Linked DNA regions of Ovis aries. The protein of the gene in region 1 purifies or fractionates together with the protein of each later gene. This does not show direct contact. Links are inferred from orthologs where the notes say so. Each region holds a gene or a part of one and is shown in the gene's direction. Other genes may lie near its edges. The genes, in order: BNIP1, RINT1, NAPA, NBAS and USE1.

Evidence for each region.
Region 2: the proteins of BNIP1 (region 1) and RINT1 purify together in Homo sapiens (co-immunoprecipitation; 3 studies listed by BioGRID and IntAct, counting the BioPlex papers as one, with this or other methods). This does not show direct contact. The link is inferred for Ovis aries from reciprocal best matches to the Homo sapiens genes BNIP1 and RINT1.
Region 3: the proteins of BNIP1 (region 1) and NAPA purify together in Homo sapiens (affinity purification with mass spectrometry; 3 studies listed by BioGRID and IntAct, with this or other methods). This does not show direct contact. The link is inferred for Ovis aries from reciprocal best matches to the Homo sapiens genes BNIP1 and NAPA.
Region 4: the proteins of BNIP1 (region 1) and NBAS purify together in Homo sapiens (co-immunoprecipitation; 3 studies listed by BioGRID and IntAct, with this or other methods). This does not show direct contact. The link is inferred for Ovis aries from reciprocal best matches to the Homo sapiens genes BNIP1 and NBAS.
Region 5: the proteins of BNIP1 (region 1) and USE1 purify together in Homo sapiens (co-immunoprecipitation; 4 studies listed by BioGRID and IntAct, counting the BioPlex papers as one, with this or other methods). This does not show direct contact. The link is inferred for Ovis aries from reciprocal best matches to the Homo sapiens genes BNIP1 and USE1.

What each region holds. Positions count from the first base shown.
Region 1 is NC_056069.1:5,009,199-5,013,453, forward strand, and holds part of BNIP1 (vesicle transport protein SEC20), read left to right. Parts: intron 1-1,077; coding exon 1,078-1,169; intron 1,170-1,990; coding exon 1,991-2,092; intron 2,093-3,724; coding exon 3,725-3,843; intron 3,844-4,255. UniProt on the Homo sapiens protein: As part of a SNARE complex may be involved in endoplasmic reticulum membranes fusion and be required for the maintenance of endoplasmic reticulum organization. Also plays a role in apoptosis.
Region 2 is NC_056057.1:48,165,483-48,169,737, forward strand, and holds part of RINT1 (RAD50-interacting protein 1), read left to right. Parts: intron 1-493; coding exon 494-667; intron 668-765; coding exon 766-915; intron 916-1,461; coding exon 1,462-1,618; intron 1,619-3,433; coding exon 3,434-3,544; intron 3,545-3,640; coding exon 3,641-3,866; intron 3,867-4,255. UniProt on the Homo sapiens protein: Involved in regulation of membrane traffic between the Golgi and the endoplasmic reticulum (ER); the function is proposed to depend on its association in the NRZ complex which is believed to play a role in SNARE assembly at the ER.
Region 3 is NC_056067.1:54,244,042-54,249,096, reverse strand, and holds the start of NAPA (alpha-soluble NSF attachment protein), read left to right. Parts: upstream 1-1,823; 5' UTR 1,824-1,970; coding exon 1,971-2,068; intron 2,069-5,055. UniProt on the Homo sapiens protein: Required for vesicular transport between the endoplasmic reticulum and the Golgi apparatus. Together with GNA12 promotes CDH5 localization to plasma membrane.
Region 4 is NC_056056.1:23,954,798-23,959,588, reverse strand, and holds the start of NBAS (NBAS subunit of NRZ tethering complex), read left to right. Parts: upstream 1-1,455; 5' UTR 1,456-1,491; coding exon 1,492-1,608; intron 1,609-3,690; coding exon 3,691-3,745; intron 3,746-4,791. UniProt on the Homo sapiens protein: Involved in Golgi-to-endoplasmic reticulum (ER) retrograde transport; the function is proposed to depend on its association in the NRZ complex which is believed to play a role in SNARE assembly at the ER. Required for normal embryonic development.
Region 5 is NC_056058.1:5,651,405-5,656,090, reverse strand, and holds USE1 (vesicle transport protein USE1), read left to right. Parts: upstream 1-1,329; 5' UTR 1,330-1,339; coding exon 1,340-1,480; intron 1,481-1,792; coding exon 1,793-1,842; intron 1,843-1,978; coding exon 1,979-2,057; intron 2,058-2,143; coding exon 2,144-2,296; intron 2,297-2,811; coding exon 2,812-2,824; intron 2,825-3,233; coding exon 3,234-3,261; intron 3,262-3,683; coding exon 3,684-3,858; intron 3,859-4,101; coding exon 4,102-4,284; 3' UTR 4,285-4,303; downstream 4,304-4,686.

The sequences.
Region 1 (4,255 bases):
TCATGATGGTACAGATTGAGCACCATCGTTGAGTGGAAGAATGGGTGTGTGGGAAGAAGGGAGGGAGGGAGGCAAGGTGGGGGAAATGGAAGTTCTGTCACAGAGAAGCAGAGAGAGTTCTAGAGGAAAAGAAAGTGAGGGCTGCTGCCCCTCACTGAGGTGGGTGGCTGTGTCCTGGGGTTTGATTATTTGGGGCTCTGAGTCTTTCTTTTCAGAAGGCCTTACCTGTGGGGCTTTCGTGCGACCTGGGTTGAATGTCTCTTCAGAGGTTTTTGCATTTGCTTTTGCCAGGTCTCCTGGGATTACCACAGGTCTGGGAGCACTTTTTATGTTTGTTTCTCCTTGTGGAGGTTCTTGAACCACTCAGGAAGGATGAACTTGGACCCTCGATCCATGTGAGGGGAGTGCCATGGTTATAATCGGGAGAGACATTTATATCCCTCTAGCCACGTCTCACAACAGAAAACTCCACAACTTCTCTGTGCTGGTTGACAGACGTTTTCCTAGCTCACCTTTTCACTGAGGGTATTTGTATCCCTTTGTGCTCCTGGCTTTGCAGTGGTCTCAGTTCCAGTTCCCAGCTTCAGGTGGCCAAAGCTTTGTTTTCTGTCCCCACATGGACTTGAAAGCCGTGTTTGCCATTCAGTCTGAAATATGTACCAAGACTGAGAGCCTGTAGAAACAAATAGCAGTGTGTTATTTCCATCATATCTCAGAGTGGGATCAGTAGGCTCCTATGTTACTGTAGTTTTTTCCCTTTTCCTTTCAGGCACGTCCTGGACCGCAGGAACGCAGGAACGCATCCCCTGCTCCAGGGCAGCCTCACACCCCTCACAGGAAGGCTGCTCTGACTCATAGTTTCTTTCTCATTTTGAGTTCTTGAGGATGGTCCTTTCTTTCTTTTTAGACAGCTTTCTATGTAAAAGGATGTTTGTTGTGTATGAACCAGCATTCCTGAGTCTTCTGTTCTAGGAGGGTTTTCAAGTGCTGTTGCATAACTGGTAGAAATAGAAGTGCTTTCCAGTTTTTCATTACCTTTCAAAATCATTTTAACTTAGAGCTGATTTCCTCCCAAAGGAGCTTGAGCAGTCGGCTAAAGAGCAAGACAAAGAGTCAGAGAAGCAAGTTCTGCTCCAAGAAGTGGAGAATCACAAAAAGCAGATGCTCAGGTGGGTGGGGCCTGGCCTCCGGCCAGTGGCCTCCGCTGGGCCCCCTGCTCCCGGTGAGGCTTGTGCCTGAGTTTGCCTAATAAACCTGCTGAAGCTAGGGGGTAAGCCGGGGCTCTTTGGTAGCTGGGACTGTGTATAGTGTACAAAAGCATATTTAACATTATGCTGTATTTTATATTTTTTTAAAAGCAAAAAATTCGTTGCTTTTGTAATATAGGGTCCTTTTTAATCTAAAGAGAATTGATAGCAGAAAAAGTCCACCAAAGGTGCCAAAATGATTGGGGACCACTGGTGTAAAGAACAGCAAACCTTGAAGAAATATTGAATAAAACTGTCTTATACTGATTTTTCTACTTCTTACTGCCTATATTGATGGAGCAGCTAATGGGTCAATAACTGTTGTCCTGGGTACTGGTGAAACAAAGATGAACAAGGCATAGTTCTCCAGGAGCAGAACCAAGCCACGCCGCGGGCAGAACAGTAATGTGTAGGAGATGACTTTGAACGGGGCCGCGTGCGCCCAGCTGGGCAGTTTGGCTGTTTCCCTTTAGTGGAGCCATTGCAGGCTGTAAGCACAGGGACGCTGTGACCGGTCTTCTCCCTCTGGCTGCCCTGGGGGAGAGGGACTGTTGTGGGTGGTAGGAGAATGGAAACAGTTTCTGGGGCAGCCAAGAAGAGGACATGGTGGGAAGGGTGACGGACTCTGGGCTACACACAGGTAGCCTCCCCATCACTCCCTGGCTGGAAGGCTACTGTGACTTGAACTGACTGACAGCCTGTCGGCATCAAGAGAAACTCACACATGGCTTTTGTAATTCCAGCAATCAGACCTCATGGAGGAAGGCTAACCTCACTTGCAAAATTGCTATCGACAACCTAGAGAAAGCAGAACTTCTCCAGGGAGGAGACCTATTCCGGCAAAGGTATGTATCTTCTTGTCTTTCTGGGTTTTGATGACAGAATAGACAGCAGTTGGCAAGGTGCAAAACCTACTGTGGGGAACCCTCTCTTGTTTTCAGCATAAAATTGATATTTTATAAGTAATTTTTTTAACTATAAAAGAAATACATTCTTGTTTTTAGTAAATTGGTAAAATTAAAATGTGAATCACAAAGTGAAAGTATGAATTGTGCTGTTCACAACTATTTTGATATATTGCCTCCTTTCATTATTTTTTCTTCCATATTTTTTATAAAATCAGCATGGTACCATATATTATCTCGTCCCATCACTTCATGGCAAATAGATGGGGAAACAATGGAAACTGTGACAGACTTTATTTTCTTGGGCTCCAAAATCATTGCAGATGGTGACTGCAGCCATGAAGTTAAAAGACGCTTGGAAAAAAACCTGTGACCAACCTAGACAGCATATTAAAAAGCAGAGACATTACTTTGTCAAAAGGTGTATATAGTCAAAGCTATGGTTTTTCCAGTGGTCATGTTTGGATGTCAGAGTTGGGCCATAAAGAAGGCTGAGCACCGAAGAATTGATGCTTTTGAACTGTGATGTTGGAGAACTCTTGAGAGTCCCTTGGACTGAAAGGAGATCAGCCAATCAATCCTAAAGGAAATCAGTCCTGAATGTTCATTGGAAGGACTGATGTTGAAGCTGAAGCTCCGGTACTTTGGACCTGATGCAAAGAACTGACTCATTGGAAAAGACCCTGATGCTGGCAAAGATTGAGGGCAGGAGGAGAAAGGGATGACAGAGAAAGAGATGATTGGATGGCATCACCGACTCAATGGACATGAGTTTGAGTAAGCTCTGGGAGCTGGTGATGGACAGGGAGGCCTGGCGTGCTGCAGTCCATGGGGTCGCAAAGAGTCGGACACGACGGAGCGACTGAACTGAACTGAGCTTTAAACATAGTCTCCTAGTCTTCACTTAGTATTATTATCTTCACAAAGATTTGCCTGTTTTTTTAAAAAGCTCTTTATAACTAATCCCCTGCTTGTGTGTGTTTATATTTCTCATTATGTCTGTATTATGAGTAACACACGAGGGCACATGTACGTAAAGCGTTGTCCACATTCTGTGTATTTCCTTTGGAGAGATTCCCAGGGATGAGATTATTGGGTCAAAGGCGTGAGCATTGCTAAGGCCCCTAACACACATCGCCAGCTGGCTCTCAGAAGGAGCACCAGTGGGCATCCCTACCGGCAGTCTTCACGTGCGTGCGCTCGCATGCCCTTGCCACCACTGCGGTGTGCTGAGCCGCTCAGTCATGTCAGGCTCTTTGTGACCCCATGGACTATGGCCCGCCAGGCTCCTCTGTCCATGGACTCTCCCAGGCAAGAATACTAGAGTGGGTTGCCATTCCTCCTTGAGGGGACCTTCTCAATCCAGGGATCAAACCCACGTCTCCCGAGTCTCCTCGCTGCAGGTGGGTTCTTCACCCCTGAGCCGTCAGGGGGAGTCCTTTGCCACCGTTAAGTATGACCATTTAAAAAACGTGCTGATTCGATAGATTAGAAGGTGGGATCTTGCTTGAATCCGGGGCTTTCTTGAGCCAGGCTTTTGTTGACATTCCTCCTCCTACTCTGTACTTCTAGGAAAACTGCCAAAGAGAGCCTGGCCCAGACGTCCAGCGCCATCACAGAGAGCCTCATGGGGATCAGCAGGATGATGTCCCAGCAGGTCCAGCAGAGCGAGGAAGCCATGCAGACGCTGGGTAAAGTCAGGCCAGGCCTGCAGTGGGAGGCTGCCGCTGGGCTCCAGGCCCTCACCCCTGGGCTCCTCCACCTCTGCCCACATCTGCCCCGCCTTCACTGATCTGTGTGGCTTCTCACTCCTGTGACAGCGTGGTCTTACCCAGTTGGGATGCACTGCTCTCATTTCCCTTTTTGGTTTTTATAGTTGTACTGAAGGATCCACACACCCCATCAAAATGTTTGGAAGAACTCCTAGGCTCTCTCCTGGAGAGTGGGTGCCAACAGTCCTGGAGGAGGGCCTTGAGAGTCTATTTTTTATCTCCGGCTCTGGGGACCCTTCTGGCCAGGCAGGGAGATGATCGGTTATTGGCTGCCAGCTGGTCTACTAGGACATCCACTTACAATTGTACTCCCCAATGTTATTTTTCCTGT
Region 2 (4,255 bases), on another chromosome or scaffold:
GCCTTAAATTTTATGTGCAGCTTGGCAGTAACTTGAAAGGACTTGATTCTGAGGTGCCACCTCCCTAAGTTCCCTATAGTCAGGTTCAGCTGGGCAAAGTAGATACAGATTGAAGACTAGCATTATTGACTTACCAGATGCCACCCCCATTCTCCCCTTGGATTAAGATTCTGTAAAAGACAGATTTCTTAGAAATGAGGGGTGCCTGATGGAATGTGACAGAGGAAAAGTCTGTCCTATTGGGAGAGCTGGGCAGGCAAAGGTGGAGGCAGATGTCCTGAACACAGCCCACTGCTCTTAGGAGGATGCTGAGGATTCCAGGCTCCTAAAGACTGGGGTGTCAAGTTAAAAAAAAAAAAACAACACTTTAGGTTAGTGCTTCCTTCTTCTTTTGGTTGTAGCTTTATGTAAAGCAGGAGGAAGAAGCAGTTTTCCACATTTGGAATTACTCTGAACAAAGTGTCTTTCAACTTTGCTCCTCCTTATCTTTCAGTGATAACATTCAGCAATATCTGATGACCAATAATGTCCCAGAGGCAGCCTCTACTCTGGTGTCCATGGCAGAACTTGACATCAAGCTTCAGGAATCTTCCTGTACTCATCTTCTGGGTTTCATGAGAGCCACAGTTAAATTCTGGCATAAAATTCTCAAGGACAAGCTTACAAGGCAAGGAATTTGTCCATGTTTCATGGTAATTGCTTTCAGATGGCTCTTTGATGTTCATTGTGTTTGATAGCAATACTTCTCTCACTTTTCTGTTACAGTGATTTTGAGGAAATTTTAGCACAGCTTCACTGGCCATTCATCACACCCCCTCAGTCTCAAACTGTTGGCATCAGTCGACCAGCCAGTGCCCCTGAGATATACAGTAACCTGGAGACACTCTTCTGTCAGCTTCTGAAACTACAAACCTCGTATCTTTTGAGGGGTTAAAACTTACTAAAATTTCTTTTTTCTAGAGTGGATTTGGACCAGAAAGGAAAGCTTTCTGAAAGTGGCCAAGAAGCAAAATGGGAGGAGTACTAGGTTTGGACTTACCTGTGTATGGTTATGTAGTGGGCGGGAGTGGTGCTGTTCTCCTTCCAAATAAACTGCGTGTGGGTGGAAGGGCTGTGAGGAGTTCTGAACTACATGATTGACCCAAGTTTGCATCACATATAGGTCTCTTGGGACAATCAAAAAACTGGGCAAAATTGGAAGGAAGCCTTAGTAACTTAGTGTTAATTTAATAAAATGATTATTCAAATGTGTTTCCTTACTTATTATCCTTTATCTTAGGAAAGATTAATTCTAATAACATTTCTCATGGACTTTTTACTTAAGTCATATGTAATTTAAAGTGAGATTACATATTATCTGTATAATTTCTCAGTATCATATATATCTGCTAGATAAATGTTCTGTGTGTATACATATCTATACATATATGCTTTTCTTTTTCCTTGACTTTACTATGTCAGAGATGAATTATTTACTGAGCCAAAACAGCTTCCAGAAAAATACTCTCTTCCCACGTCCCCTTCTGTCATCCTGCCCATCCAGATTATGCTGACTCCCCTTCAGAAGAGGTTCAGGTATCACTTCAGAGGGAACCGGCAGACTAACGTTATAAGCAAGGTGTGCTTTGCCGCTTCTTGCCCCGGTTTTAATTAATAGCAAATACTAAGGATGTCCCTACTTTTGCTGGCTTAAGTTAAATTCTGATTCTATCCGCATTCCTGTTTTTTCTCTAAAGAGCTAAATTCCAGTTTGGTCACTGCCCTTTACAGATATAACTTGGGACTTGTGTTGATATGTCGTTAAGAATCAGTGCGCTCATTAACACACCGTCTGACCACTTCCTCAGGTTTCTTCTGGGGTGTGCTGTAGCGTTTGCTGTGGCACTTTTTTACAACTGGATCCCCATGTGTTCCACTGTGCAAACTGCTCCTTCAGGTTTATGAATACATCAGAAAGAGAAGTGAGAGTCAAAAGGGAGCAGAGCATTAGCTTTTGAATGGAAGTGCTAATGTGCTCAGTGATTTGTAGTGGGACTTCCCTGGTGGTCCACGGTTAGGACTCTGTGCTTCCACCATAGGGGGCGTGGGTTTGATCTTTGGTCAGGGAACAAAGATCCCATGTGCCATGCAGCACGGCCAAAAAATAAAAATAAATAAGAATAAGAATTAAAAAAAATATAAAATGATTTGTAGCTATACAAGAGAGAGTATGGGGATAAGTAACAGGAATGACTTTGAGGAAATTATCACCAGCATTTTAGTTGAGGGACCACACCCAAGTGTATTGGACATCCTGTTGAGACTTTTTCTTTAATCTGCTCTGAAAATCACAGACAACTGTTTTCAGTGAAGTTTGATTGAATGTGTTGAGAATTATAACCTTGGGAGTTGCTAGGGGGTGGATACTGTGTATCCTTGAAGTCTTCCTACATGTGATGCAGTGCAAGTAGCAGAGGAGTCCTACAGAAAGTGTTTTGAATTAAATGATTTAAAATGCCTGATTACTTGGCAGACATTGTACGTCACATATAAATGAGTTTACAGGCTTTATAGAATTGTAAAGGAATCAAGGGATAGGCAGTTATATCTATGTAGGGAAGAGTGGGATAACAATGAATTTCTGGTTCTCAAATTCAGCTTGTTCTTTTGTACTTCTTGGGTCTCCCTCTCTTGGATGGGGTGTTGGTGGAAAGAAGAGTAGAACCAGTTAGTAAGTGGTAAGTGACACAAAAGAAGTCTAAACTGTAGAGAGGCAGTAATGATTTGAGAAAATTGTTAGTTCTGTTGGTTGCTTTTTAAATTGTAGTTCCAGTGGTCTAGTACTCTGACAGGAAGCCTGAACTATGCAGGCCCCGAGATTAACTGCCCCTTTTTCATTTCTGTATTCCCAGCATCTAGCACACAGCAGGGTTTTACCTTTCAGAAAATGTTTTAGAGTTCCTGTCCAACAAAACATAGAAGGTTTATAGAATCACCTCTAGTGACAATTTAAAAAAACTGCACAGTTACATTACTTTTCTGTAATTACAGCTGCTTTAAGTCTTTATATTTTTTGTAACGCCGACCAGCCAAATTTTTCTTAATTTAGCTTTTGAAAAAAAGAAAAAACAGAAGAAAGTCATGTTTAAAAATTATTTTGGAAAGTTATTTCCAAAAAATTATATAAAGGCCATCATTCTTTGTGATACTTATCTTTTACATATTTCTAAAGTGCTAGGTTTTAAATATTTATGGTAATTTAAATTCATTAGTTGACTTAAGCCACATTATTGAAATTTATTGGGAGTACATTGGGAAACATTTGATTATTAAGCCTTCTGTGAATGTAAAGTTCAGAGTCAAAACTGTGCTCTTATGTATACAAACATTTAACTAACTGTAACTTTCTAGTTGGAATGAGTTAAGAATTCAAACTGTTCATCTTCTTCCTTAGCCTGAATGGTACTTGGCTCAGGTTCTTCTGTGGATCGGGAACCACACTCAGTTTCTGGATGAGAAGATTCAGCCAATATTGGACAAAGTGGGCTCTTTGGTAAACGCAAGGGTAAGAGATTCAGTCCAAAGCATTTCAGTTTCAGAGTTGCAGGTGTCCATGAATAAGCTGTCATTTTCATTTCCTTATGCTTCTATGTTTTTTTAGCTTGAATTTTCTCGGGGACTTATGATGCTGATTCTTGAGAAGTTAGCTGCTGATATTCCTTGTCTGCTCTATGACGACAGTCTCTTCTGTCATTTGGTGGACGAGGTGCTTTTGTTTGAAAGAGAACTACACAGCGTTCATGGCTATCCTAGCACTTTTGCTAATTGTATGCATATTCTATCAGAGGAGACCTGTTTTCAGAGATGGTTGACTGTGGAGAGAAAATGTAAGTGCTCATATGCCTGTAGGCTGGGGAGAGGTATCTCTTATTGTGAATACAAAATTTTAGGTGTTATTCTTCTCCATTTCTGGGTAGAAACTAGTGTCATCTAAATTTTTCTCGGTTGAGGTTTATCAAGTTGCCTTCAGAGATTATCTTCTTTTCTTCCCATCAAGCTTCAGTTTTTCCCAGAATTGTACTCTATGTATTTCTAGGATAGAATATTCAAGCCAGGGACTTCTCTGGTGCTCCAGTGGCTAAGACTTGTGCTCCCAATACAGGGGGACTAGGTTTGTTCCTCAGGGAACCAGGTCCCACATGCTGCAACTCGGAGTTTCCTTGCTGCAGCTAAAGATGCTGCATGCGCAACTAAAAAGATACTGAGTGCCACAACT
Region 3 (5,055 bases), on another chromosome or scaffold:
TGTAAATGTAGCGCCTCCGCCCCCAACACCGTCCTCTGCAGATGAAAGTCTGTGCACAGTCTACATGAAGGAGTGGAGTCATGTTCCATCTTGAGAATGGAATATCCACATAAATTATTTGGAATTATGCACAGAATATTTGTTTATTCTCCACCATTTATTTTTCAGTCATTTATATCAGCATGAGCTCATGGAGATTTTATAGACTGGGTTATAATCAGGTGCTACTTTGTTGTTCAAATTGTTGCAGCTTTGACTATTGGGAACTCTGAGCTCATGGAGATTTTATAGACTGGGTTATAATCCAGGGCTGCTTGTTGCTCAGATTGTTCCATCTTTGACATTGGGAGCTCTTTCGGTTGGCTCTTGTCTCTTTGATATACCTCATCGTGTGTGTGTGTGTGTGTGTGTGTGTGTGTGTGTGTGTGAGAGAGAGAGAGAGAGAAAGAGAGAGGGAGGGAGGGAGAAGGAGATTCATGGTGTGTGTGGGGGTGTGGGGGTGTGTGTGGGAGGGTGGAGGCAGAGAAACAAAGAGATGGAGGCCAGGAGACTTACCTTCTGGAACTACAAGACCTTCCAGGCTCATCCTGTGCAGTGTCCTAGAACCAGCCTTTTATCCAAGGAGCTCTCGTTCCTTTTGTTGGAGAACAAAGAGTATTAAAAACTAAGATCTGGGCGCTAGATATAATTGAACCTAAATTTTTAACAGTTTCACTAGCTTTTTTTTTTTTTAAATGAAACCAGCGTTAGACAACCTCTGCTCCCCTCTGCATACCTCTAAGACATTGCAGGTTCAGTTCATAAATAAAGCCAGACACATGACTTTCCCTTTGTTTCCCAGTGCATGTAAGTTATGTTTACACTATGTGTGTATGTGTGTCAGTCGCTCAGTTGCATCCGACTCTTTGAGACCCCCATGAACTTTAGCCGGGCAGGCTCCTCTGTCCAAGTAACTCACCAGGAAAGACTACTTCAGTCTATTAAGGGTGCAGCAGCATTATTTTAGAAATGTATAATTTAAAAATATTTTATTGCAAAAAAATGCTAATCATTATCTGAGCCAGTCTTAATAATAACATCAAAGGTCACCAATCACAGGTCATCCTAACAAGAGTAACAAAAAACTTTAAAATATTGTGAGAATTATTAAACGTGGCATTGAGACACTAAATGAGCCAATGCTGTTTGGGAAACCGCACAGCTCTGAGAGAACTGCTTAATGCAGGATTGCCACAAACCTTCAATTTGTTTTTTTTTAAAGTGTATCTTGGAAGGGCAAGAAAGCAAAGCACAATAAAATGAGATATGCAGCCTTCTCTGGTCTTCCCAAACCAATTTCAGCATAGGTCGACAGAGGGCGCAACAAAACGGAGACCGCTTTCCTTCTTACCCACGGACGCCTTTCCAAGTGAAAGAGACCTTCAGGAGGTAATGAGAGGAGGCGGGGACTAAGCTCTGCGCAAAAGAGCTGTCAAACCCAGTCTTCCGGCATGGAGCTATCACGTGACGATTAGGGATCAGCTGACTAGGGTCTAAATTCCGCAGGGAAGTCAGACGGAGCCAAAGGCTGAAGTTGATTGGTGGAGCAGGAACAAGCCCAGGAGGCGGGTCCTTGGCGCTGAGGGCTACGATTGGCTTGTGCGGAATCACGTGGGTTATCAACCAGCGCACCAGGCACCCTAAGACAGATACATGCGCATGCGTTAAAAATTGGATCGCTGATTGGAGGCCGTGAATCACGGGGCGGCGTGCCTCGGCTGGAGAGGGCGTGGTCTGCGGTGCGCACGCCGCGCTACGAGGCCGTTGGTTGGCCAGCTCGAATCACGTGGTTCCTGGCCGCAGGAGGCGCGCGCCGGTGCGACGTCAACGCAGCCCACTAAGCTCCCCCGACCTGTCTCCTGCGACCCGGTCGTATCTGAGTTCTCCGAGGGCAGGGCTCCGGCGGTTTGCTGAGTACTTTTGCGGCCGCTATGGACAACTCCGGGAAGGAGGCGGAGGCGATGGCGCTGCTGGCCGAGGCGGAGCGCAAAGTGAAGAACTCGCAGTCTTTCTTCTCGGGCCTCTTTGGGTAAGAACCGCGCGCAGGGGTCGGCCGGGACCTCGGCTGAGAGGACGGAGGAGTCATGCTCTGGGGCGGCGGTAGAGGCGAAGGGCTCGAGCCTAGAGGACGCGGGGGTTTGCGGGCTTACGGGCATGGTCTGAGGCAGCAGAGGGTACAAGCCATGGCCGGGACGCCGGACTGTGGCACTGACAGCGTGATTCGAGGAAAGACTGTCCGAGACTGTGGCAGGGCCGTGGGCTGAGGACACCCGGGCCGAGGCGAAACCATCTGGAGGCAGGAAGGGGCCCCAGGCTGGAGACGGGCCAAAGGGCCAGGGGAATACGGCCTCAGGCCTTGAAGGGAATGTGGCCTGCGGGGACCGAGGGAGCCTGGAGGGAAGCCAGGCTAGGAAGCCTTTTGGAGCTCAAGGAGAGCCTGTTTGAAAGATCCCAGACGGGAGTCTTGGGCCCTGAGACTGAGGACTTATGCCTGAGGGCGTCCCTTTTCCGAGACCTGGGGTGATGGACTTACGTGAACTCTGGCCCGGGCGTCAGGGCTAAGATGATCCTACGATTGATGGACCCAGTCTGAATTGCGTGAAGTGTCTCAGGTGAATATGGCCCAGGTCACAGGTGACTAGTGTAAAGAGACCTGACTGCCAAGTGAGATCTGAACAGAGGAAGCTCTGGGGTGATGGAGTGAAGGCCGAAGAGGGCTGGGAGGCTGGAAACTAAGTGGGAGTGAAGCTTGGTTTAGGAACTGGTGGGATAAAAATGAAAGATGAGGGAGATAAGAAAACCTAAGGGGCCGGAGGCCTGCTGTGTGATCTTTGAGTAAAGATGGGGCATGCAGTGTGAGCAGAATGAGACTGGCATGCCCAGGTTAGGGCTGAAGGGGGCTGGGAAACAGAATCAACACCTAATGCTTGTGGCAGACATTTCACATGAGTTCATGTTGGCTCATAAGAGTTGTTCTGATGACTGTCGTTTGAGGAATTTTAGTGGCTGAGGAGGATCAAAAGCTCAGGTCAGAAGCCTAGGCTCTGCCATTTCTTGACCTTGGGCAAGCTGTTTAACTTCCCTTATTATGGGGAAGTGGTGTCTCAGAGAAACCTGTCTCAGGCATTTGCCACTAGTATTGAAGTAGGGCACGCGTAAAGGGTGTAGAATTGAGCCTGGGACGTGGTTATCACTCTGAAAGTGTTAGCTACCATCAGTGTCATTTCCGGGAAAGAAACAGGTATGGAGCCTGTTCGGGACTGATGGGGATCAAGGTGGGGGTTTGATGGGCGGGACTGATGGGGATCAAGGTGGGGGTTTGATGGGAGAAGTGGGAGGGGGGCTGTCAGAGCAGGGAGAGGCGATGTGATGAGTAAGGAGTTGAAAGGGGTTGGGGAAGGAATTCGGGCCATGGGGACTTGATAGGGTTAGGGGAAGGGGCTTGAGACCTCCGGTGGAGAGAGAGCCAGGGAGGACTGAGGAACGTTGTGTTGCTCTTGAAACTGGGAGGAGAGCTGCAGGGGAACAGGCGGGTGTGTAGAGAGTTAGGAGGAACTGTGAGGAGGGGCCATGGAACCTGGCAGCAGAGAGGCCAAGGCTGGGGACGGGGTTTGCGGGGGAAGACTGGGGCTTTAGGAGAGACGGTGTTAGGAGGTTGGTAAGAAATGAGGAGGAGGGTTCTTCCCCGGAGAGGAGATGGGAACCGCTCATTGTTACAAGTGGTGGATAATGTTTACTTATCCACCGCAAGAACTTGAGTAACCTGGCTGAGACCTCGCTAGTGTGGAAAAACATCCGGGGCTGATGGACTGTATTGATTAGGTGAGGAATGTTTTCTTTCAGAGGCTGAGAGTAGGGAGAGCGTGTCTGTGTTTCTGCTTCCTTCACAAGGGGAGAAACTCAAGTGCAGTGCTTTGTGGTGGGGCCAAGAGCTTAGTTTTCAGTCAGGTCATGGTTTTACTGGGTGGCTTTTGGTGTCTGGTCCCTGGGGATTAGTGTACTGTTGGGCCATGCTTGGAAGGAGCAGCCAAGTCAGGGCCTGAAACACTTTGTCACCTGGCTGGGAAGGCAAGATGAAGACTTGCTAACACACTAGTAAAGCAGAATTGTCACATGTGATTAAGGGCTGCATTTTATCATTGGTGGGAGGTTCCTGACCTGAGAGGAAGCTGCATGAGCTTAAGGAACTCCTTGGTGAGGAATGAGCTGGGCCCCTGGGAACCCTGGGACATGCCACAGGAGTGGGGACTGGAGAGGGTGTTCCAGGCAATGGGAATTGTCTGAACAGAGGTCTAGGGTGAGGGGAGGTTTGTCCAGAAATGATGGGGAACTGAGATCCAGAGAGACCAGGGCTGGCTCCCTGTGGGGAGAAGCCTCCACCTGGGAGGATGAGCAGGAGTTCCGGGGGTGCTCTCTGGTGGGAGAGCACAGCTCCCAACAGAGGAGGCAGCTTGAGCAAGGCCCAGATGTGTGAAGGCCAGCGTCTGAAGGTTTACTGCAGGGGGTTCTGCGTCAGCCCGTAAAGGTAGAACAGGCAGAAGGGGATGAGACTAAAGAACCAGGCCCCATCCCAGAGGGCTTTTTGAGAAAAGGCTTGGATTTGTGGAGGTGCTGGAGAGCACTGAGGATTTTCGTGGCCTTTTTAGGCTGTTCAGACTGCTGTAACAAAATACCATCAGCTCAGTACCTTATAACCATCAGAAACATATTTCTCACATTTTTGGATGCAAGAAGTTCAAGGTTGTGGTGCTGACAGGTCTGGTTCCTGGCGAGGGCCTGCTGCCTCCCAGACGGCTGTTGTTTCACTGTGTCCTGCTGTCTTTTGTAAGGGCACTAATCCCAGTCACGAGGGCCCCACCCTCATGACCTAGTCACCTCCCAAAGGCCCCACCCACCTCCTCATATCATCACCCTGGAGCTTAGGATTTCCACACACAAGTTTTGGCAGGGGACACAAGAATTCAGTTCACTGGAGGGCCAGTGCTGAAGACCTCCTGTGTAGAAAGGACTCCAGCA
Region 4 (4,791 bases), on another chromosome or scaffold:
CTTCCTTCCAGGGACCTGGTTTTCCAGTTGGTATGTCGTTTCCATAGATACTGGGCATATAGCTCGAAGTCCACAGTCCAGCCCAAGATGGAGTCTTGCTTTCAAGACAGAGGCTGTTCTATTTCCTCCTTCACTATGGCTCTTTGCGTCTTTTCCCAGCTTCCTGGCTCGTGCTCTGCACACTCTGGGCTCAGCGAACAATGAGATACAGCGAGACACCTGGACACCGTATACTTATACAGGTTGTGCGTCTCTGCTCACAGTGCAGGGCTTTTCTCAGAGAGGCACTTGTTGCACGAAGGAATGACTAAATGAATGAACAAATAAGCCTAGACCTGCAAGTGGGTCCTCAACCTATTATTTCAACTTTTTTGCCCCTACGCCCTTTCTTGGCTTGGTTTCTACTCAGCTGCTTGCTCTTTCAACTAGATATTTCTGCCTCTGTCCTTATCCCATTTCCCCCTACTTGAAATGCTCCCCAAACCCTCTGCTCTTGATTCCAGCTTTATCTGTTAAAGACTTCATTTCCTCCAGAAAGCCCCTCTAGACCCTCTGGCTTTTTCTGAACTCCGATAGCCTCATTCTCTGATACCTTTCTCAAAACTTTTGGCCACACTGTACAGCTTGCGGGAACCTAGTTCCGCCACCAAGGATTGAACCCTGGGAACCCACAGCAGTGAAAGCCTGAGTCTTAACCATTGGACCAACAGGGAATTCCGGTGATACCTCTCATTCGTTTAATCTGTTGCACAGGATAGCTTTCCTGTGTTTATTAAAAAAAAACAAAAAACAACAAAAAAAAACCAGTTTGCCCTCTTTGTATCAGTTAGGCAACGCATACATAAATGGCAGAACACAGGGTGTTAGTCCTCGAAGGTCTTTGTAGGTCTTCATAGAATGGCTCAGACGGTAAAGCGTCTGTCTACAATGCGGGAGACCCGGGTTCGATCCCTGGGTTGGGAAGATCCCCTGGAGAACTAAATGGCAATCCACTCTAGGACTATTGCCTGGAAAATCCCATGGATAGAGGAGCCTGGTAGGCTACAGTCCATGGGGTCGCAAAGAGTCGGACACGACTGAGCGACTTCACTTCACTTCATAAAACCTTTCAACTTAAGCTTTTTCCACGTTAGAGGTTGGGGCATAGACTTGGATTCCTGTGATGATGAATGGTTTGCCTTGGAAAGGATCTCAGAAGATAGTTCTATCACTTTCGTTTTATAGAAGCTGACGGGGTAAGAGAGGTTGGGATGTGGCTGATCTCATGCAATTAATAAAGAGGGAGCGTACCAAGACCAGAATGTAAGTTGTACCGCAAGACAAGCGAGAGGTTGTTCCACCTACTCAAAGAAGGGTTTCAACTCAGCATTTCCTTTCCACCCCGGGTTAACTCCACCCCTTTCCCGGGGAATCAGAGGCGGCGTGGCCGCGGAAGCTTGTCCGCCGCGGCTTGCCGTAGTGGCCCGGCCCCAGCACTTGGTGGGGGCAAATATGGCGTCCTCTGAGCCATTGCCGACCGTGAATCCAGGCGCTGCGGAGGGCGAGGAGGAGACGATACTCTATGACTTGTTGGTCAACACCGAGTGGCCCCCGGAGACGGAAGTACAGGTGAACCAGGCCCCGCCGGGGCTGCCGCCAGCTGGGTGCCGGCGCTGCCCCGGCAGAGACACGTAGCCGGAGCCACGTAGGGTGATGGAGCCGGGCTCCACCGCTTGTGCGGTCGTCTTGGCAACGGCACCGCGAGCTAACGGGGGCCCGGGTCCCCCAGGTGGAGTTTCTGGCATGCTTCCTGGACTCCTAATTCGGCTCTCGGGGTGGGGCGGGGGGCGAAACCTCGGGCTCTGAGGCAAGTACTTTACTACCCCGGTTCTGTTTCACCGTCCCTACTTGGAGGGGAGGCACAGCGTTGGACTCGGGGGTCCTTCCCTCACCTAGACCCTCGGTAGTCCCTTTACCGGACCGGCTCCGGCAGGGCTGCTCCTCACCTGCTGTGGGAGTATTTTCCAGGACCCTGCAGTCATCTCAGCATCTGCTGGGCTGTCATGGAGCGCGGCATAAACCTTTGTTCCTATCTGGACCCGAGTTGTGTCAGTTCCTGGGTTATTTAAGTAATTAATGAGTGTATGTGTATATCTGTCCGTGTTCCAGATACTGTGAGGCGCTGTGCTTCCGAAGTGAATAAGTTTGGTGGTACTTGCGGTCTTAGAGGGAAGACAGTGTAGTAAACTTTTTCATCACCTGCTGTAATATGCACTGTAATAGTGATGTGAGCAAAATGCCCTGAGGAGTGAAAATTTATGAGGACCCGGGGTTGGGTTCTTTGTTAGAAGTGGGGTCCTAGGTGTTGGTAATCTAGACCTTGGAGTCAGTAGTTTCAATAGAAAGGACAGTAGGTCAATAGAAAGGACCTCTCAGGCACAGGGTGGAGATAAGAAGCAGAAACCCGCATTTATTAAACGTATTTACTGAGTGCCTAACGTGTGCCAGTTGCTGTTTTAAGATCAGAATATGCAGCAAGGTGGGAAAGGAGTTTCGTTGAGGATCATGGGCTCCAGCCCATACGAATTCTTATTTACAATCTCTTTTCTGAGTTTTTCTTTCTTTCTTCTTTTTTGGCTGCTGAGTTTCTTTAGTGGAGAAAGTACTGCTTCTCCTGTAAAGTTTATAAGCTTTTCTTTAACCTCCTTCCCATTGCAGTTTCTGTCTTTTGGAATATTTTGTAGGCTAGCAGAGATCCTCATGCATAATTTAAAAAAAGTATTTACATAGTTTCTGTTTGTGTCGAACAATTGATATTTTGTATCTTACGTAGCTGGAAAGTTGCTGCTGCCACTGATTGAATAGGATACCTTTCCACACCTTAGCACTCACTGGTTAATTACATAATGTTATAGAAATGCTTCACATTATAAATTGGCTAAAGAAATATGTACTGCATCAACTTACATTGAAACCTCATAACACTTTTTTTGTTTGGTTCTATTGATTTTAACTGAACTACAAGCTCTTGAAAGTCAGCTACATTTGACTCATGTTTATATTCCTTCCCCAAACCAAATTTTGTCTTCTGCAAAGTAAATGATGGATTCATGTTTGTTGAATGAAATAACTTTTTTTGTGCTTTTAAGCCATATCTGCCTGCACTTTGTGACCATTAGGACATCTTCCAGGTTATAGTGCCTAGTATTGTTTAACCTATGTTTGTTCTGTACTTAAGGAACTATTTATATAGCAGTTATGTATCAGTGTGGCTGTTTGTAGTAGTTTCTCTATGAATATGCAGCTAATGTTCAATAAATTTGCTTTGGGGCATGAGTTTATTGATCCATATGATCGCTTTTTCTACAAGCAAAACCCCTTTTAGGCCTCTGTAGGCCTCCAAAATAGACTGTGCCAACTGGCAACCAGTGTGGGTCTTAGACCTTGACTTTTTTTGTGTTTGCACTGGTGCTTTGATTTAGAAACATTTTCCAACCTCAATCCCTGTCCTGTCTTGCAGAATTCATCCTGGCAAATGCCTGTATCTCTGCCATGCTCACTTTCCTATGCTGCTTCTCCTTGTTTTGTTTCTATCTATAAGTAGTTTTAAAGATACTGGTAACTTGTGCCCAGTACTGTGTATTAGCAAAGAAATATAGCTTACTATATAAGTATCAGTGGAAAATTCTCAAATTATTTTTTCATTTGCAGCCTAGAGGCAACCGGAAACATGGTGCATCCTTTATCATCACAAAAGCAATTAGAGGTGAGTATAGCTTATTTTGGCTTCCCTTATAGCTTGGTTGGTAAAGAGTCTGCCTGTGGCCTAGGAGTCTGCAATGCTGGAAATCCAGGTTCTATTCCTGGGTTGGAAAGATCCCCTGGAGAAGGAAATGGCAACCCACTCCAGTGATCTTGCCTGGGAAATCTCATGGACAGAGGAGCCTGGCGGGTTACATTCCGTGGGGTCACAAGAGTTGGACACGACTTAGTGACTAAACCACCACCATAGCTTATTTATTTATGATATAGTTAGCAGATAATTTTTTCCTTATTTTTTCCTATTCTGTAACTGTGCTTTTAAGAAGTTTAGGGATTTGAAAATGTGTCCTTTTGAGTTTTAATGTAAACTCAGTTGCTAAACAAATTACTATTAATTTGCCTGATTAAAATGAGTATTAATAGCATAAATGTTACCTATTTTATAAAAAAATGCATGTGTCTTAACTATATACGTCTATGTAAGCATGTGTGTATATATACATACATACACATGGATGTATTCATATGTTTATACAGACACATTTTTTTACAGTTTATTTTTAATTAAAGGATTATTGCATTATGGTATTGTGTTGGTGTCTGCCATACATCAACAGGAATCAGCCATAGGTATACATATGTCCCCTGCCTCTTGAACTTCCCTCCCACCTGTCACCCCATTCTACCCCTCTAGGTTGTCACAGAGCACCAGTTTGAGCTCCCTGAGCCATACAGCAAATTCCTACTGGCTGTTTTGCATATGGCAGGGAATGTGTTTCCATGCTACTCTCTCCATTCATCCCATCCTCTCCTTACCCCCTGTGTCTACAGTTCTATTCTCTGTGTCTTTATTGCTGCCCTGCACATAGGTTCATCAGTATGATTGAAAATATAATAATAATTTTATCTTCTGTTATAAGACACACTAGCATATTCAGTTTTTATTATCAAATGTGAAATTTTGAAAATTTAGGACATATATATATAAGTAATATACTAAGTTTGGAAATACAGAAGACCACAAATTGGAATAAATAATTCCTCATTTTA
Region 5 (4,686 bases), on another chromosome or scaffold:
CCATCTGCCTTGGGGGAGGGGGAGTCGGTCCTGGGGGACCCACTGGAGCCTGAAGCAACAGCACCACCACCATCGCCACCAACAGAGAAGCTCCCAGGTTGCAACCAGATCGGCAGTTGTAACTGGTTGGCAGATAGGGTTTGTAGGTGTGGGGGAGTTAGGAGACCATGACAAACCTGAGTTTAAGGGACGCATGCTGAAGAGTTGGTGGTCTAGGCCAAGGCCACACAGCTGGGATGGGGCGGCCGGGGATTCAGACCCTGCCCTGTCTGGCTCATGCATGTGTGGATGTGTGCTCAGTCGTGTCCGACTCTTTGCCACCCCATGGACTGTAGCCCACCAGGCTCCTCTGTCCATGGAATTTCCCAGGCAAGCATACTGGAGTGGGTTGCTATTTCCTTCCCCAGGGGATCTTCCTGACCCGGGGGTCGAACTCCCGTCTCCTGTGTCTCCTGCACTGACAGGTGGATTCTTTATCACTGAGCCACTTGGGAAGCCCTGTCTGGCTCTAGAACCGCTCCCCGGCACCGCCCTCCGGCCCACCACCCCATCAACAACCTGAGTTTGAGTTTAGACTCATCCACAGTACTTACAGGGGACCAAGACCACTGATGTGATCTGAACACGTAACCTGAAGGATGAGATAGTTGAGGGATGTATGCCAGGCTTCATCCCCTGTGATGTCCCCATCCTCACTCGGAGGGCCCACAGAGGGAGACTCGAACAAGGGGCCTTAACTTCTTGAGGACGCGCGTGGGGTTCTGTCCACGGGGGTCTGGGCGTTGAGGGTGACCCAGCCACACCTCACGCTCCCAGGTTTAGCTCATGTCACTGCCAGACTAACCGTTTCCCAATAGCGGAAACAGGTCCAGAAAAAGTTAAGAAACTCGCAAAAGGCTACGACGGGAGGTGGAGTCAGGGTCAGGGCTGGAACCGGAAATAATAGCCCCTAAGTCTTGGATTCCGAAGTCCCAGGTCAGGGCCTCTCCTCGTGAATTCAGAGAAGACTCCCTGGATGCAGAAGGGCTCAGAGCGGAAAACTCTGGAAGGAGCGGAGAGAGGGGTAGGAATTTTGAGGGGGGTAGTAATGAGCACTTCACGCTTTGCATGTGGGTCTTCTGGCACCGAAGGACTTGATCCTTTCAACCTTTCCGGAAGGGTCAAGACACTCGCAAGAATAAGCAAGCGATTCATCCCGGAGTAAATGCAGACGGGATGGTGTCCCGCATTGAAACAAGACATTACTTCCGCCACCCTAAACAAGAACAAGAATGGGACAGCAAACAGGGCACTTCCGACCGGAAGGAGGCCACGGAAGGCACTTCCGCCATCTCTTAAGATGGCGCCGGCGGAAGGGGCGGAGTACCACTGGGTGGTGATGGCAGCGTCGAGGCTGGAGCTGAACCTGGTGCGGCTACTGTGCCGCTGCGAGGCGATGGCAGCGGAGAAACGGGACCCGGACGAGTGGCGTCTAGAAAAGGTAGGGAATTCCGTGTTTCCTCGTAAACCCCGAATCCAGGAGAGTGGCCCCCGCAGCTAGAGGCCACCGGGCCCGACTCCCCCGCCCCGCCAGCCAGCGTGGCCACGCCCCTTCCGGTTGGTTCCGGCCACGTCCACCTGCTGCTCTCCCGCCTTCTCCCTGAGGCTCAACTGGTCCCTCCTCCTGATGCTTGGCTCCTCCTGTTTCAATCCCGCCCCCATCCTGGCCTCGCCCCTTGCTGGCTCTGATCTCTCTGAGCAGGATGTAGGGATAGGGGGAGGACTGGGCTGACACCCCACTTTTTGTCCCCAGTACGTGGGAGCTCTCGAGGACATGCTGCAGGCCCTGAAAGCACAGGCGAGGTGAGTGCAGGCGGCCACAAGTGGTTCAAAATTGAGTCTCCTACTGGAGACCAAGAACCCTGGTCTCCAGTTCCCGCTAAGAACCTCCCCTCAACTGGGCACAGTAGGCTTTCCTTTTCCTCTTCTCCCCTTCCAGCAAACCGGCTTCGGAGGTGCTCAATGAATATTCTCGGAAGGTAGATTTTCTGAAGGGAATGCTGCAGGCAGAGAAACTGGTAAGCAGGGGCCCCTCTGCCTGGTCAACCTTCATGCTCACCTGGGGCCTGCCACTTTGGTGACTGCTGCCTTCCCGCTTCTGCAGACCTCCTCCTCAGAGAAGGCACTAGCCAACCAGTTCCTGGCCCCTGGCCGAGTGCCCACTACAGCCAGGGAAAGGGTCCCCGCTACGAAGACAGTACACCTGCAGTCACGGGCTCGGTACACCAGTGAGATGCGGAGTGAGCTGCTAGGCACGGTAGGGCTCCCTCCCTCGTCCCTGGAAAACTTCAGGTGGGGATAGGAATTTGTGCGTGGAGGTGGCCAGAACAACACTGTCCGGTGCAGGGATTAGGATACCCAACAGACAGGACCTGGACCATCAGACAAGGCTTCCCAACAGACGGGCATCGTGGCCAGGGCTTTACTAGATGAATAAGAGTTTCCATACAAGGCAAAAATGGCACATCTACACTTAAAAGCCCCAGAGTTGGCCCGAAGCAAGGTTTGGCCCCGCCTCACCACACACCAGTGAGTTTTTTTCAGCTGTGAAATAGGGTGACAGGTACCTCTATGAGCACTTCCTGTGGATCTGAAAAATACCCTTCAAAATATGAACCCTTGTTTTCAGTTTATAGATGAGGAAACTGAGCCTCAGAGGTTACAGGACTTGTCCAGGGTCCTGATTGAGGGTGGGGAGTTTCTGAAAGAGAAAGGACAGGTCTGGGGGCATGGCATGGTTGGTGATTCTGTGCCTCTCTTTTTTTCCCACAGGACTCTAGTGAAGGTGAGACAGCATAAGCAGAACAGGACTCAAGGCCTGGGACAGATACATATCCTTAGTGCCCCACATCCCTCGTGCCTAACCTGGCTCCCATAGGGTGTTTGCAGCCCAGGGAAACTGTGCCCAGGGGCCTTTCCACACTTGAAGGTGGAAGGCTAGAAGGGTGTCAGGAAGGGGCCCTAGAGGAAACAGAGTTGGACACTCCCAGCCCAAGTGACTACGGCTGGCTAGAGAGAGGACCCGGGGCCGGGGTGGGGGTGCCCGATGAGGAAGACTTCCTGCACCTGCTGTGCAACAGACAGAAGGGGAAATGGCATTGTGAGTAGCAGACACATCCTGGGCAATGGTCAGGAAGCTGGAAAACAGCAAACCAGTTCTTCCTTTTTGCCTGCTTGGCTTGTTTTGCTTTCAGAGCCCGAAATGGATGTGAGGAAGAGAACGTGAGTATCTTCAGCCCTTGGGGAGCATTGCAGGGAGAGGGGAGTTGGACAAAGGTTGGACCACTAAAGCACAACGATGAGCATTTAAACCACCAATCAGGGGATTCCCCAGTGGTCCAGTACTTAGGACTGTGTGCTTTCATTGCCAAGGGCCTAATTCAATCCCTGGTTGGAGAAAAAGACCCTACAAGCTGAGCAGTAAAGCCAATAATAATAATAAAATTAAAAAAAAAAAAAAACACTAACGAACAGCCACTTCTGAGGATGCTTTTCCCAGAAGCCAAAGTGAAAAAGGAGAAACAGCCCCAAGCAGCACAGTAGCTGGAACTATAACCTCTAGGTCCCTTGAAAACATGTTGGTCTCTTCCCTCTTTCCCCCACCCCAATCTCATACCCACTGGTCTACCCATCTGTGGGGTCAGTGGGGCGTCAGGGCCCACACCAAGGGATGAGAAGCAGTCAGCAGCTGAGCTAGACCTCGTCCTGCAGCGACACCAGAACCTCCAGGAGAAGCTGGCAGAGGAGATGCTCGGCCTGGCCCGGAGCCTCAAGACCAACACACTGGCTGCCCAGAGTGTCATCAAGAAGGACAACCAGGTATGAGGACTCTGGGAACCCTAGAGCCTCTGGTTTGGGGCATCAAAGAAGGCTTCCCAGAAGAAGGTCCCTATGGCTGGGACTGAGCTGGATGAATAGGAGTTTGGCAGAAGTAAAAAATGGCATTCCCAGAGGAGAAAACAGCACTAGGAAGGGCCAAGAGATACAGATTCGCCCCAGTGCAGTAGGAAGCGGTGACACTTGGACGCAGTCCTGTTGACACTCGCCCTGCCTCACCCACAGACGCTGTCACACTCCCTCAAGATGGCCGACCAGAACCTGGAAAAGCTGAAGACGGAATCCGAGCGGCTGGAGCAGCACACACAGAAGTCAGTCAACTGGCTGCTCTGGGCCATGCTCATCGTCGTCTGCTTCATCTTCATCAGCATGATCCTCTTCATCCGCATCATGCCCAAACTCAAATAAAGACTTGGCCTGGCCTGTGTCACCTGTGCCCTCTCTGCCCTCCACCCTGTCCAGGGGTGATACCTTTTGGGGTTGGCAGCGTGATGGGAAGGCCCTTGGAGCCCCATGAGAGCTACAGAGAGTACATGACCAGGAGAGGAAGGAGGGCAGGCAGCTGGGGGAGGTGAGTCAACAAGCCTGCCTCCCATTTCTGCCCCCCACTCCCCACCCCCCAGGTACCTACTTCACACTGGACAAGGCAGGGCCCATAGAGGCCCCAGAACTCCCAATCTGATGGAGTCAGAGCCAAACACATTCCTGTGGAGTCAAGGTAAGGTCTGGAGGGTTGAGGAGGAGTGGGCCTACGCCTGGAGGTCAGCCTGTAGGAAGGGTTGAAAAGTTGTCTCTTGGACCTGTGAATGA